2 linked regions of the Saccharomyces cerevisiae S288C genome follow. Changing the gene in region 1 together with any one later gene gives a genetic interaction. Each region holds a gene or a part of one and is shown in the gene's direction. Other genes may lie near its edges.

Region 1 (9,364 bases):
GTGAACATGATTGTGACTTTTACCTTACGTGTTGCTCAAAAAACTTTAATATGAAATCCGTGTATTTCCGGTCATTAACTCCGGCTCGATTTTTTTGCTAGAGTAAAAAAGAACACGCAAGCTGGCGAAAGAGTTGGGAAAGAATCATGTGACTAAACAGAGCAGCCTTCCATATAGTCTTCCATATCCTCACGAGATGCTAAGCCACAAACTTTTTGCATGACTTTCATTGTGCACTTGACTTCCGAGCACTAAATTGATCTATAATGATACAGATAATTGCGTACCTCCAACATGGTCATGGTTCAAAGTTTGGTGATATGGGCGACATGGATTTGTTCGGAGGTAAGAAACAGGAAAAGTTATCTGCAATGGTTCTTACAAAACAAATAATCTTTGCTCTTTAAACTTTTTACTCAAAGAGATATTTAACCCCTTCTCTGTGATTTAACTCTTCCACTAGAGCCCATTTCTTGTTCGTTAATAGTGTAATTTGTACAATACATATTATTTTTCTTTCTTATAAGAGTTATTATTTTGTATCTCTGTAATATGTAGCATCGTAGTATCGTAGTATCGTTAGGAAGCTGTAAAAGATGGGAGTGGGAAGGCAGTATTCAAAAAAATGCGAAGTCATCGAAATGAGAGATGCTCTGAAGTAAAGAGCAGCAACTTCAAGATCCTAAGGGTGTACATGAGGTTACAATGACCTCAACAGCTACTAAACTAACGGACCTAGATATATCAGTCCGAAGGCTGCTTTTGGTCGAGCAAAAATTGATTTTTCGTAATAACGATAAAGTATAAAACGTGTGTTTATAGGTTTTCAAATTGTCTCTATGGTTTTACATCTCTTATCTTCGATTTTACTGTGTTTTGTACATTGATTACAAGTTGAGGGTGTAACTGAGTTATTAGAATTGAAAAGGTCTTCGCTCGCCACTTGTTTTTTGTGATTTAGTACCCCCCGCCTAAACGTGAATATTAGGCTCGGATTATGGTTTAGTCAATCTTAAGATCGAACAGGAATAAATGGTAGCAATTTCAAATGTAAAAGAGATGTGTTATTTGGCCTAAGTGCGTAGAATGGCGACGTCGAAACGAATATGTAACTTGTCAGACTAACATGATGTTAGCAACGAGAGTTTCGTAACTAGAAATGCCAACAAATAAACTTTGTGGAAAAAAAAATCTTGCAGTAGTAGTAAAAAGCATGAAACATATTACCCACCTAATCTTGGCCTCATCTTAATTACAACAATTATAGTTCCATAAATTTAAGACCCGCGCCTGTAATAATGCTGACGCCTATCATGAATTTCTCTTCTTCTACGAAATTATGGCGACAGTAGTCTACCCTATGGACTTTCATATAAAAAAGTTCACATTTCATTTGATAATACAACTATTATTTGCGCTAAATCTGTATTACCATCCTTTCCATATATTACTTTTCAAACTCACCTGTTAGATGTCTCTTTAACAATTTGGTCCTTCTAATATATCTTACCTTGCTTTCCTTATTCGTAATATTTGCCATGCCAGAGAATCTCTGAAATGCAAAGTTTATACTTTAAAAGGGTTATTTTTGAATTTGGTAATCCTAAGCATTAGTAGATATTCTTTCACTTATTTTTTGGAAATTGTTTCGCTAGATTACTCGTGCACGCAAAAATAAATGTTTCTTGGATCCGATGAGGCGTCACAACTTGCCGCGTCTGCTGTCATTGACTTTTACCCGCTAGAGCAGTAATGAAAAAGACGTTTTTAATAAACTTACCTGCTCAACTTTAGACTTTAGCATCGAAAATTATGGGTCGTTTAGATAAATAATGAAGTTATTCTAAGCCGCACGTAGTAACAAATCTTGAAGTAAAGGACACCAAAAATTGTATTCCGTGCTGTGGAATGTTGGTGCCAGCATTAATCGAATGGTCCATTTCTTTTCTTACCTTTTTGAAGGAACTGATCCTTCAATTCATATTTTTCACTAACGAAAGAAAATAAAGATTTAGTAGGATACCAAGTACTAAAAGCAAAAAAAGAGTATAGTATTTACATAATCTACATATGTGCAAAGGCTCCTCCTTATTTAGAGAAGAAACTTTCCCTTTCCTTAACCGATGCGGTAATTCAACACGTGAATTTCAGCTATTTTAAGTTTGTTTGGTATTCACAGTTCAGAATATTTCTTTTTGAGTCAGCTCATTTCACGTATTTGCAATGTATGTCATTTAGTTGAGATGATAATGAAAGAGCCCCACGCGCTGGTGCGATCTATGATGAAAAATGTAAATACGAAACTTTACTAAAAATAAATAGGGCAGAATATAGATAAGCAAGAATAGAAAGATCACAGATTTGACTGCACAGTCAAATGAATTCTCTCATCCCTCTTTTAGTGGAAGCATCAACATACATTGTAAGAGGAGAAAGCAGCATCTCAATTGCCATTGGAATAGGGCCTCAAGCTAGCAGGAGTGTGCCGTACCACATTCTTTGCAGGGGATGTGACGGCACGGTAACAACTTTTCGTACGTGGCATACGCAACCACTCGGGCCTTGCAATACAATCATCATAGGCAGAAAAGGTAATGAGACAACCGGCGGCGCAGAACAGAGGAGGCAGCAGCACTTAACGTCTGATTCAGCAACAAAAGCGTCATTGGTGGGTTTTTGTGGGCTGTATTATTATTTCAGGAAATAGTAACTGAACGTGTCAACTTTGCATTAACGCGTTTTTCCTATTTGGGTACGGAGATATTTATGTTTTGATAAGCAAATGCTTCAATTGTGCCGTGCGCATCATCAATCCCACTCACTGAGGAACTCTATAATGAAAAAAAAACAAACAGGCAAAAGCAGATAGACCAATAATTGATATCTGATTTTTCACAAAAAATGCAGGAGAGATCAGCATTAAACGGATCCATCACATCCACCGGACGAATCCGTCTCAAATATGGCAGCCACGCTGGTGTGACACATAATATTACTGCAACACTTCTTATCTCATTATTTTTATCATGGTAAAAGAAGTCAACACTATGCGAGGAATACCAAAAGAAAATTTGGTTCACATCATGGTGTCAGTAAAAGCAACCGACAAAAATCGGGGGGTTGCTGTCCGACGTAGTTTCTTCGTTATAATTTTCAATAATCCCACATTTCGTTGTTAACCTTTTGCAAAAATTGATGTAGTTTGTTTTCCTCTTGGCCCCTGTTGTGGTTACCGAACACGTGAATCGCCATTGCGGTTGTCAATATCAGCCCATTGGGTTTTATGAAGATTCGTAACACCTTCGATTATTTAAGTTTATTCTCTTATCTACAATAATAATAGCGTTCTTTTACAATTGGACGCTGTTATCTTACTTCTGAATGTTCATGGATTGGAAATTTTCAATCATTTCACGAATTATTAGCAATGAAGATAAGTAACATTAAAAAAAATATTGATATCAACTTGCTAGGTTTCTTCTCGCTTCAAAAAAATTTATAAATGGGAATGGAACACTATCCTGTGTAAACTTAAGTCATGTCTCAAGTCAGTTGTTACTTATATTCATTCCTATCGAAACATCCCAAAAAATAATATTTGAAACACTTACAATCATACATTGAACGTCTAAACAACGGCGGCATTTTTTTAATAGCAGAAACGAACATATTAGCTTATTCTACAACTAGTAGGGTTTGTTATACGCAATATTGCTGTTGAATTATTAGAAATTATGAGTGAAACAGTCAAAGATAAAGTTATAATTGATGAGAAGGTATCCACAAAAGGTACTGTTGATTACGCCGAGGGTGCTGAGTATTCTGAGAGGCTTTCAAATCATTCATCAGACTTTTCTCAGTGGTATACGGATGAACAGATACTGCACTTTATGAAGAAGCTGGGTTATGAAAATCGCACTCTTTATGATATTCCGGAAGACGTTGCGTATATCCTCAAAAAAATGCCTGAATTGACACTTGAGGATTCCTTCAAAATACTAAAAGACTCTATCATCTATTTCAAGGATGATGAGAACATTCCACACGATCAATATGAGGAGTGGAAGAGATTGGTTGACTTGGAGGACTTGGATTCAAAAGAGGGGATAGATGAATATGATAGCTTTGACATTAGAGCATTTGCTTCTGCTATTAAATTTCATTCGCCTTACCAAGAGGTTAGAGCTGTTGTTGATCCAGAAGATGATCCCACCATTCCAGTGGAGACATTCCGAGCATATTTTCTGGCAATAATTTGGTCTGTCATCGGTTCAGGATTTAATGAGTTTTTTTCACACAGGGTGGTTTCAATTTCACTGAATACTCCAATTATCCAAATGTTTTTATATATCTGTGGTAAGGCTTGGGCTAAAACTATCCCCTGTTGGACTATAACCATCAGGGGCAGAAAGTATGGTATCAATATCGATAAACCATGGACCCAAAAAGAGCAAATGTTTTCAACCTTGTTATATGCAATTTGTCAAGGCGCGTTCTATACTCATTACAATATTCTAACGCAAAAACTCTTTTACCATTCTGCTTTCTCGTTTGGCTACCAATTTTTACTTTCGTTATCCGTACAATTTATTGGATTTGGATTTGCTGGCATCCTTAGAAAATTCGTTGTTTATCCAGCCCGTGCACTATGGCCAACAGTCATGCCAACTATTGCTATCAACAAGGCACTATTGGGTAAAGAAAAGCATGAATCTGGAATGAGCAGGTATAAATTCTTTTTCTTGACTTTTTTTATCATGTTCATCTATAACTGGTTTCCCACTTACATTATTAATATTCTAAACACTTTCAATTGGATGACCTGGATCAAGCCAAGTAACATTAATCTCGCAAACATCACGGGAGGAGTCACTGGTCTTGGGATTAATCCTATCTCATCTTTTGACTGGAATGTTATTTCGTTTAATTCTCCTTTAGTTTACCCATTTTGGTCATACTTAACACAATATCTTGGTTGCATATTAGCAGCTTTAATTGTTATTGCAGTATACTATAGTAATTATATGAGTTGCCAATACCTGCCAATATTCACAAATTCTTTGTATACTAATACTGGCCATTCCTTTAAAGTTACTGAGGTATTAGACAGTGACAATAAGCTAGATGTGAAAAAATATCAAAGCTACTCGCCACCATACTATAGTGCTGGAAATTTGGTATCATATGGTGCTTTCATTTGCGCATATCCTCTGATGATTACATGGTCGTTTATTGTACACTCAAAGTTATTGTTCAATGCTTTCAAAGATTGGGCTTTGAATTTGTGGGCCATGAGAAAACTTAAATCTTGGGTCACAATGTTCAAAAGCGATTACAGGGCGCTCGACGATTATGATGACCCACATTCTAATGCCATGAAAAACTATAAAGAAGTTCCAGATTGGTGGTATTTTGCCATATTGATAGGTTCACTTGTTGTTGGAATAGCTGTTGTAGAGCACTACCCAACAAATACACCAGTTTGGGGTCTTTTTGTTTGTTTAGGATTTAATTTTGTTTTCTTGATTCCAACTACTATCCTTCAAGCAACCACTGGTTATTCGTTTGGTTTGAATCTACTAATTGAAATGGTGATGGGGTACGCTTTACCAGGTAATCCAATCGCCATAATGATTTTGAAGGCTTTTGGTTATAACATCGACGGCCAAGCAGATAATTACGTTTCTAACTTAAAAATAGCGCATTATTGTAAGATTCCGCCAATGGCGCTATTCAGGGGACAATGTGTTATAGTTTTCATTCAGATATTTGTCAATCTAGGTGTTCTGAATTGGCAAATCTCCAATATCAAAGACTTTTGCACACCTCATCAAAACGCAAAATTCACCTGTCCTGATGCTGTGACCTACTATAATGCTTCCGTTGTCTGGGGTGCAATTGGGCCAAAAAGAATTTTCAATTACATTTATCCAATATTTAAATGGTGTTGGTTGATAGGCGCATGCATTGGCATATTTTTTGGTGTTTGGAAGCGCTGGGGTAAGTTTTATCCCAGATATTTTGACCCAATGTTATTTGTAGGTGGAATGCTTAATATGAGCCCTCCATATAACCTGATGTATTACACTTCTGGTATGATTGTTAGTTACATTTCCCAGTACTACATGAAAAGACACCATTTAAATCTGTGGGAGAAATATAATTATGTTTTATCGGCAGGCTTTTCAACGGGCTTGGTTTTATCAGCTATTATCATTTTCTTTGCTGTCCAATATAAAGACACAGCTTTTAATTGGTGGGGCAATACAGTTCCGTATGCTGGTGCCGATGGCGTTGGCTATCCTCTAAAGAACATAACTGATACAGCAAATGGCTATTTCGGCTATGCTCCAGGACACTATCCATGACTAGAACTTTTCTTAGAACGCTATCATTTCTTTATTTTTTTTTCTCCCCTGCACTTGTCTTTTCTATCAGTCACCTGCATGTATTTAGTTTTTATTCTTCTATCTATAGTACAGAGTTACTTTGATATGTAAAAAGCCATCATTTTGTCTTCATACCTGCCAAAACTATAACAGTACACTCTAGTTCAATATTTTTGACACTTTTCATGCTTCTCGCCTTTTCTCTGTGTATGCGGATGTTATCAATAAAGAAAAATGCTTTGATACCAGAATAGGAACTACATTTTTTTTTGGCTCATCGACGAAGTGATAAGGAGCCTGGCAATTGAAAATCAATCAAGAATATTTTTTGCTTCCAACTACAAGTAATGATGGTGTTTATTTTGCATGAATTTTGGTATTATTGCAGAAATACAAGTGGTAAATAGTTTTGTAAACGTATATTTCAAGTTGGAATGAGATGCGTTGCACTACTGGATAATTACTCCGGTTGAAGCATATTCAAATACAGTATCACCGTTTTTTGGGATGATTCAGGGTTAAGCCAGCCGAGTATTGAGAGAGATTGACAACATAGCATGCGGCTGATGTCAGATTTCGAACATTTGAAATTTTCTTGCCTTTATAAGACGTTTGCGAAATACAAGTTACAGGCCGACTACACAATGTATTTATTTCTATTTAATTTCTGCATTGGGTTAGCCTTTTAACGTCATAGTTCATTGTACTTCTCAGTCACTTCTTGATTTGCTTTTATTGGTTGAACATTTTTATGGACGGAACTAACGGGTGGCAAGAACTACCAATTATATTAGGGGAGCGGCAATCATTAAGAGAGGGAACGCTATAAATAGAGCAAAAAGGGCTAAGTATTGCTCTTAGTATTTTATATGCCAAGAAAGCAAACAGCCCTTTCTGTGTAGCATGTCCAACACTAGCGAAGATAACATTACCGTAAGGTTTGTAACCGAAAACGATAAGGAGGGTTGGCAAAGGCTTTGGAAATCCTATCAAGATTTTTATGAAGTCTCTTTTCCCGATGACTTGGACGATTTCAATTTCGGCAGATTCCTAGATCCTAACATTAAAATGTGGGCAGCCGTAGCTGTGGAAAGTTCGAGCGAAAAAATTATTGGAATGATAAACTTTTTCAACCATATGACTACTTGGGATTTCAAGGACAAGATATACATCAACGATCTCTATGTTGATGAGAATTCTAGGGTCAAAGGCGCGGGCGGCAAACTAATCCAATTTGTCTACGACGAAGCTGATAAACTGGGCACACCAAGCGTGTATTGGTGTACGGATGAGTCAAACCATAGAGCTCAGCTGCTATACGTCAAGGTCGGCTATAAAGCCCCAAAAATATTATACAAGAGGAAGGGATATTAAAAACACTAATTACCTCAGTAGTATGGATGTATAGAAAAAAAAAAATTAAAAACAATTAATCTTACTAGTTTTTGCCGAGTATTATAACATTAAGTGCTAGTGAGCGAGAAATAAAGAAAAGGAGGGAAAAATTAGACTTCAGCCACAGCAGAGGAACTGCTGGTTTCACCTTTTTTTTGAGCTTTTTCCTTGGTGCTGGCAGCCTTTTCAGCGGTAACGTAGGTTGTGTAGTCTAAGATTTGCAATAATTGCCATACAGACCATGCTAAAATGGATCCTAACAGCGTGCCAATCCAATAAATCCAGTGGTAATGAGGGAAGTATCTGGCTGCGACAGCAGCACCCAAGGACCTCGCAGGGTTGACACCTGTGCCTGTGTATGCAGTCAAAGCGACGTGTGCGATAAACAGGGAGATGCCGATGGGCAGCGCAGCCATAAAGTTGGTTTCACGCTTCTCCACAGCCGTCATTAAGACTGTTAAACATAGGATAGCGGTGCCGAACATCTCCAGGAACAGACCCCTCGTCCTAGAGCAGCCCAGGCCCAAAGAATTGGCAAAGAGGACTTCACCAGGTGTCATGGCGCTTGCAGCGCCTCCAGCGGCCATTCCAGCAACAATCTGCGAAACCCACATAACGACACATCTTGTAGGAGAGACGGCTCTCGCCAAGCACAGCGAAAGCGACATAGCAGGATTCAAAGCCCCACCAGAGACACCGGCAAAACACCAGATAGAAAACATGACGGAAAATCCGAAACCGATGGCAATCATAATCAATTGACCCGGATGGGAACCGTCAGGCGCTGCAACGAGTGCGACATCATGGTTAGCGACATTGCAGATAACGTAAGCGCACCATAAAAACATGAATGTGCCGCAGAACTCACCGACCGCAGCGATAAAGTGGTCTCTCAGGGTGTCCCTAGAGATTTTAAAGCGATGGTGCTTTGTTTCCGGCTGCTCCGGAGGGATGTAGGCGTCGTCCACACCGGTAGGATCCAGACGTGTATGTTGCTTGTCGGTATCGTTCGAATCGTTCGAAGACATGTTATAGTTAATTACATGTTACTTTATGTGCCGTATTGACAGACAGCACCAAATACAAAGAATAAAAAAAGAGAAGGAAAAAAAAAACAAAATATCAAAAGGACAAGACGAATTGTGGGAATCGACACTCGGAAGAACAGACAGAATGCGATGCAGGGAAAAGCACTGCGCTTAATATACCTCGAATTCAAACGGCATATCACACAATTTCCGACGTAAAATATTTTTCCTTCTTTCTTTTCCTTGTCGCGTATATGCTATCCTGCAATTTACCACTTCTAGACTAATCCTACTGTGTAAGAGGGTGGAAGGACATCAGGCATAAGGAAGTCTATACGAATAAACTTTTCTTCTTTCTAATTCTTGTAAGATTAAGCTTTGAGGGATAAACGACGGCAATAATGAGTTTAAGGCAAGCTTATCGAAGTAATATAAAACGGTGGCCGATGCAGATATTCACTTGGAAAAAAATTAGGGGACGCGTGGGGAGGGCCGGCTTTCATGGCATCCCGATTTACCGTGCAGGAAACAACCTCGCACCCTCGGGGCATG
Region 2 (5,953 bases), on another chromosome or scaffold:
CGCAGTAGTTGCCACTCAAAAGATTAAGAAGGATGAAACATTGTTTAAAATACCTCGTAGTTCTGTTTTAAGCGTTACAACATCTCAACTGATAAAGGATTATCCTTCTCTCAAGGATAAGTTCCTGAACGAAACCGGATCGTGGGAAGGTTTAATTATCTGTATACTTTATGAGATGGAAGTTTTGCAAGAAAGAAGCCGATGGGCGCCTTACTTTAAAGTTTGGAACAAACCAAGCGATATGAACGCGTTAATTTTTTGGGATGATAATGAACTGCAACTTTTAAAACCATCACTTGTCCTTGAAAGAATAGGAAAAAAGGAAGCCAAAGAGATGCATGAAAGAATTATTAAATCAATCAAACAAATTGGTGGAGAATTTTCACGTGTAGCGACGTCCTTCGAGTTTGATAATTTTGCCTATATTGCAAGCATTATATTGAGTTACTCCTTTGATTTGGAAATGCAAGATAGTAGTGTAAATGAAAATGAAGAAGAAGAAACCAGTGAAGAAGAACTTGAAAATGAGCGCTACTTGAAATCGATGATTCCACTTGCTGATATGTTGAATGCAGATACCAGTAAATGCAACGCTAATTTAACTTACGACTCTAACTGTTTAAAGATGGTTGCTTTGAGGGATATTGAAAAGAATGAACAAGTGTACAACATATACGGAGAACATCCAAATTCGGAACTACTAAGAAGATATGGGTATGTTGAATGGGACGGTTCGAAGTATGATTTTGGAGAAGTGTTACTTGAAAATATTGTCGAGGCGTTAAAAGAGACTTTTGAGACGAATACTGAATTTTTGGACAGGTGTATTGATATCTTACGCAATAACGCCAATATTCAAGAATTCTTAGAAGGTGAAGAAATAGTACTAGATTCATATGATTGTTATAATAATGGTGAATTGTTGCCTCAACTAATACTTTTGGTCCAAATCTTGACAATTCTTTGCCAAATTCCAGGTTTATGCAAACTGGACATAAAAGCAATGGAAAGGCAAGTGGAGAGAATTGTAAAGAAGTGTTTACAATTGATAGAAGGTGCCCGCGCCACTACAAACTGTAGTGCCACATGGAAACGTTGTATTATGAAGCGTCTAGCCGATTACCCCATAAAAAAGTGCGTTTCTATCGAAAAACCTTCGAAAGGAAACTCATTAACAAGGGAAGAACTAAGAGATGTTATGGCTCGGAGAGTTTTGAAAAGCGAAATAGATTCGCTGCAAGTTTGTGAAGAAACCATCGACAAGAATTACAAGGTTATTCCTGATGAAAAGCTGCTAACTAATATTTTAAAGAGAAAGTTGACAGAGGAAGAAAAAAGCTCTGTCAAACGTCCTTGCGTGAAGAAGTGAGCGGTTGTTCTAACCACTATTTAAAGCCGCAATTAGTAATGCAAAAAGTTGGCCGGAATTAGCCGCGCAAGTTGGTGGGGTCCCTTAATCCGAAAAAGGACGGCTTTAACAAATATAAACTCCGAAAATCCCCACAGTGACAGAATTGGAGAAACAACCAGTTTTGATATCGCCATACATATAAAGAGATGTAGAAAGCATTCTTCACTGTAATGTCCAAATCGTACATTTGAATTTCTTGTAGGTTTATTTAAAAGGTAAGTTAAATAAATATAATAGTACTTACAAATAAATTTGGAACCCTAGAAGATGTCGAAATTGGGACAAGAAAAAAATGAAGTAAATTACTCTGATGTAAGAGAGGATAGAGTTGTGACAAACTCCACTGGTAATCCAATCAATGAACCATTTGTCACCCAACGTATTGGGGAACATGGCCCTTTGCTTTTGCAAGATTATAACTTAATTGATTCTTTGGCTCATTTCAACAGGGAAAATATTCCTCAAAGGAATCCACATGCTCATGGTTCTGGTGCCTTCGGCTATTTTGAAGTAACCGATGACATTACTGATATCTGCGGGTCTGCTATGTTTAGTAAAATTGGGAAAAGAACGAAATGTCTAACAAGATTTTCGACTGTGGGTGGTGATAAAGGTAGTGCCGACACGGTTCGTGATCCAAGGGGGTTTGCCACCAAATTCTACACTGAAGAAGGTAATTTAGATTGGGTCTACAATAATACACCGGTATTCTTTATCAGAGACCCTTCCAAGTTCCCTCACTTTATCCACACACAGAAGAGAAACCCACAAACCAACCTAAGGGATGCTGACATGTTTTGGGATTTCCTCACCACTCCTGAAAATCAGGTGGCCATTCATCAAGTAATGATCCTTTTTTCAGACCGTGGTACCCCTGCCAACTACCGTAGTATGCATGGTTATTCTGGTCATACCTATAAATGGTCCAATAAAAACGGAGATTGGCATTATGTGCAAGTTCATATCAAAACCGATCAAGGAATAAAGAATTTGACCATAGAAGAGGCTACCAAAATTGCGGGATCCAATCCAGATTACTGCCAGCAGGATTTATTTGAGGCTATTCAGAATGGAAACTATCCTTCCTGGACAGTTTATATTCAAACAATGACCGAACGCGATGCCAAAAAATTACCATTTTCAGTCTTTGATTTGACTAAAGTATGGCCTCAGGGGCAATTCCCTTTACGGCGTGTGGGTAAGATTGTTTTGAACGAGAATCCACTGAACTTCTTCGCACAGGTGGAACAAGCTGCCTTCGCCCCCAGTACCACGGTTCCTTACCAAGAAGCAAGCGCTGATCCAGTATTACAGGCCCGTTTGTTTTCATATGCGGATGCTCATAGATACAGGCTAGGTCCTAACTTCCATCAAATACCCGTAAACTGTCCATATGCATCTAAATTTTTCAATCCCGCTATCAGAGATGGACCGATGAATGTTAACGGCAACTTCGGCTCAGAACCTACATATTTGGCCAACGATAAATCGTACACGTATATCCAACAGGACAGACCCATTCAACAACACCAAGAGGTATGGAATGGGCCAGCTATCCCTTATCATTGGGCAACATCCCCAGGTGATGTAGATTTCGTGCAAGCAAGAAATCTCTACCGCGTTTTGGGTAAACAACCTGGACAGCAAAAGAACTTGGCATATAACATCGGCATTCATGTAGAAGGCGCCTGTCCTCAAATACAGCAGCGCGTTTATGATATGTTTGCTCGTGTTGATAAGGGACTATCTGAGGCAATTAAAAAAGTAGCTGAGGCAAAACATGCTTCTGAGCTTTCGAGTAACTCCAAATTTTGAAACGCTCAAGTAACAAATGAGTGGCGTTGTTTCCACGACAATTATTTATGATAGTGTGTATTTTTAACACATTTTATTTATTACAATTTATGTATTTTGTTATGAATTATTTATTTATACGACTAATAGGTGATGCTCATATTCTCGTGTTAGAAAGTTAAAAAAATTATCATTTCACACATAGGAAAGCTCGTCGCGCCGGGGAAAAAGCTGAGGAATCTCTATTATTAGGGGTAAAGTTCAACACATTCAGTATGAGATAAGTGTGTCTTCAAGAGAGATGCAGCACTGAGTAGGGAACCAAGAAACGATGTCTGAATTACTAGATAGCTTTGAGACAGAGTTTGCGAAATTTTATACCGACAGCAATCTGGAAGAGACAAACCTTCAAAAATGTCTTGATCATACTCATGAATTCAAGAGTCAATTAAAGAAGTTGAAAGCGCACTTAAACAAGCATATTCAGGAATCAAAACCAGAAGTCTATAATAAGCTGAGTGATAAGGAGAAACAAAAGTTTAAGAGAAAAAGAGAACTAATTATTGAGAAGCTAAGCAAGTCACAGAGGCAATGGGACCATTCAGTAAAGAAACAAATAAAGTACGTTTCTCAGCAGTCGAATCGCTTCAACAAAAGCACGCTGAACAAATTAAAAGAATTTGATATAGATAGCGTATATGTCAATAAATTACCGAAAGAGACAATGGAAAATGTTAATGAAGCCATCGGTTACCATATTTTGAGGTATAGTATAGACAACATGCCATTAGGAAATAAAAATGAGGCTTTCCAGTATCTAAAAGATGTCTACGGAATTACTAATAAAGAATCTACTGAATTTATTGAGATGGGCCAAATCGTACATGATCTTAAAAAGGGTGACACAGAAAGCTGTCTGAAATGGTGCTCCAATGAAATGGAAAGCTTATCATCTAACCATACGGCTTTATCGTCCCTAAAATTTGATTTATACACTTTGTCAGCAATGCAGATAGTGAAGCATGGAAATCCGGTAGAGTTGTACTACCAAATAACACAGAACGCACCCCTGGATTGCTTTAGACATAGGGAGAAGGAATTAATGCAAAACGTCGTACCATTATTAACTAAATCGCTAATAGGTCAACCTATTGAAGATATTGATTCTAAAGTAAATAAGGAATTAAAAGAATGCACGTCGTTATTTATAAAAGAATATTGTGCTGCAAAACATATTTTCTTTGACTCTCCCTTGTTTTTGATAGTATTGAGTGGTTTAATTTCTTTCCAATTTTTCATCAAATACAAAACCATCAGGGAGTTAGCGCACGTTGACTGGACTACGAAAGATGAGTTGCCATTTGATGTCAAGTTACCAGATTTTCTGACTCATTTCCATCCGATCTTCATCTGTCCCGTCTTAAAGGAGGAAACCACTACAGAAAATCCTCCTTATTCACTGGCATGCCATCACATCATTTCTAAAAAGGCGCTAGACAGATTATCGAAGAACGGAACAATTACTTTCAAGTGCCCATACTGCCCCGTAAATACTTCAATGAGCAGTACAAAAAAGGTTCGTTTTGTTATGCTTTGACTGAAATTTTTGCATAGGTTTTTTTTTTTTTTTTTTATTGGAAGCGATAACAGAACACAGTAGTTTTCTACAGTAAACCACCTTTAGCAACCTGCTCTCGCTGAAAATCTCCATTCATTATCGTTCCTGAGAACGATCCATTTTCTCCAGCCAACCACCCAGGAACTTTATCAATATTTATTAAATTTTTATCGCATAGTTCGTGTAATCCCCCAAAAATATCATTACCATTAAATTTCAATTTTATGGTAATTATTCTACTGTTTATTTCGTTTTTTAAAGTGAATCCAACTTTTTCAATAGGAACTAAGGAACTGTATCTAGAAATGTACACTGGCTCACCAGAATCTTCATTTTTCTTTCCATTCCTAATATTGTGGACATGTTCGTTAAATTCTTTCAAATCATTATATTTCTGATCCATTACGCCGTTTGCTGAACCTTTGAATTTGATCATGTTTTTCTCTAACCTTAGTCGTCTAATTTCAGGTTCTTCTTTTCCGTAAAAATTCTCATCGTCATTTAAGAAAGAATCATCAAATTCTCTAACCATTACCTTTTTACCAGTAAGGCCTTGGTGCTTTTTGTAGTCGTGTAGTGGTGACCGTTCAAAGTTAGCACTAGCATAACATTCCCATGGGCCCATAGACTCCGCAAATCTCGAAGGTCCTAATAAAGTCATTATATTATGTATTGATTTCACGGGTATTTTCTGTACCGGTTTGAAGATGATTGTTTCTCTTTCTGATATCGTTCGACTAATGCTCTGCAAAACTAGTCTAGCATAAATATCCTTGTCAACTGAATGGAAAATTATTGGAGAATTTAGCGGGAATGCAACGTAATATGGTCTCCTTGATATTAATGGTTTCCCTTGGAATTTGTCTAACTTGTTGTAAAGAGACTCTTTATTTATACTCCCTATATTAGGCGTACTCAAAAATAAATTATTGCTGTCAAATAGCTGTATTCTGGTAATTAACACTGGCAAAGAGGGATGTTTAAACATGTAAACATGACAATGGTAAATTTTCGCTAGATCTGTTTGTAAATTTTCTATAAATTTGGCAGGTTGGAGCTTTACTACGTAAGGTTTCCCATCTCCCCGTAAAGCTTTTGATGGAAGCCACTTAAATTTCTCTGGTTTACTT

The links.
Region 2: of OPT2 (region 1) and CTA1, changing one enhances a phenotype caused by changing the other (phenotypic enhancement), as found in Saccharomyces cerevisiae (one study listed by BioGRID).

The regions. Positions count from the first base shown.
Region 1 is NC_001148.4:921,308-930,671, reverse strand, and holds OPT2 (Opt2p), read left to right. Parts: upstream 1-3,734; coding exon 3,735-6,368; downstream 6,369-9,364. Other genes in the region: YPR195C (uncharacterized protein), read left to right, coding at 2,378-2,707; HPA2 (histone acetyltransferase), read left to right, coding at 7,293-7,763; AQY1 (Aqy1p), read right to left, coding at 7,895-8,812. UniProt on the Saccharomyces cerevisiae protein: Transports tetra- and pentapeptides. Does not transport glutathione.
Region 2 is NC_001136.10:965,406-971,358, reverse strand, and holds CTA1 (catalase A), read left to right. Parts: upstream 1-1,678; coding exon 1,679-3,226; downstream 3,227-5,953. Other genes in the region: RKM4 (ribosomal lysine N-methyltransferase), read left to right, coding at 1-1,369; ubiquitin-protein ligase RMD5, read left to right, coding at 3,537-4,802; CHL4 (Chl4p), read right to left, coding at 4,870-5,953. UniProt on the Saccharomyces cerevisiae protein: Catalyzes the degradation of hydrogen peroxide (H(2)O(2)) generated by peroxisomal oxidases to water and oxygen, thereby protecting cells from the toxic effects of hydrogen peroxide.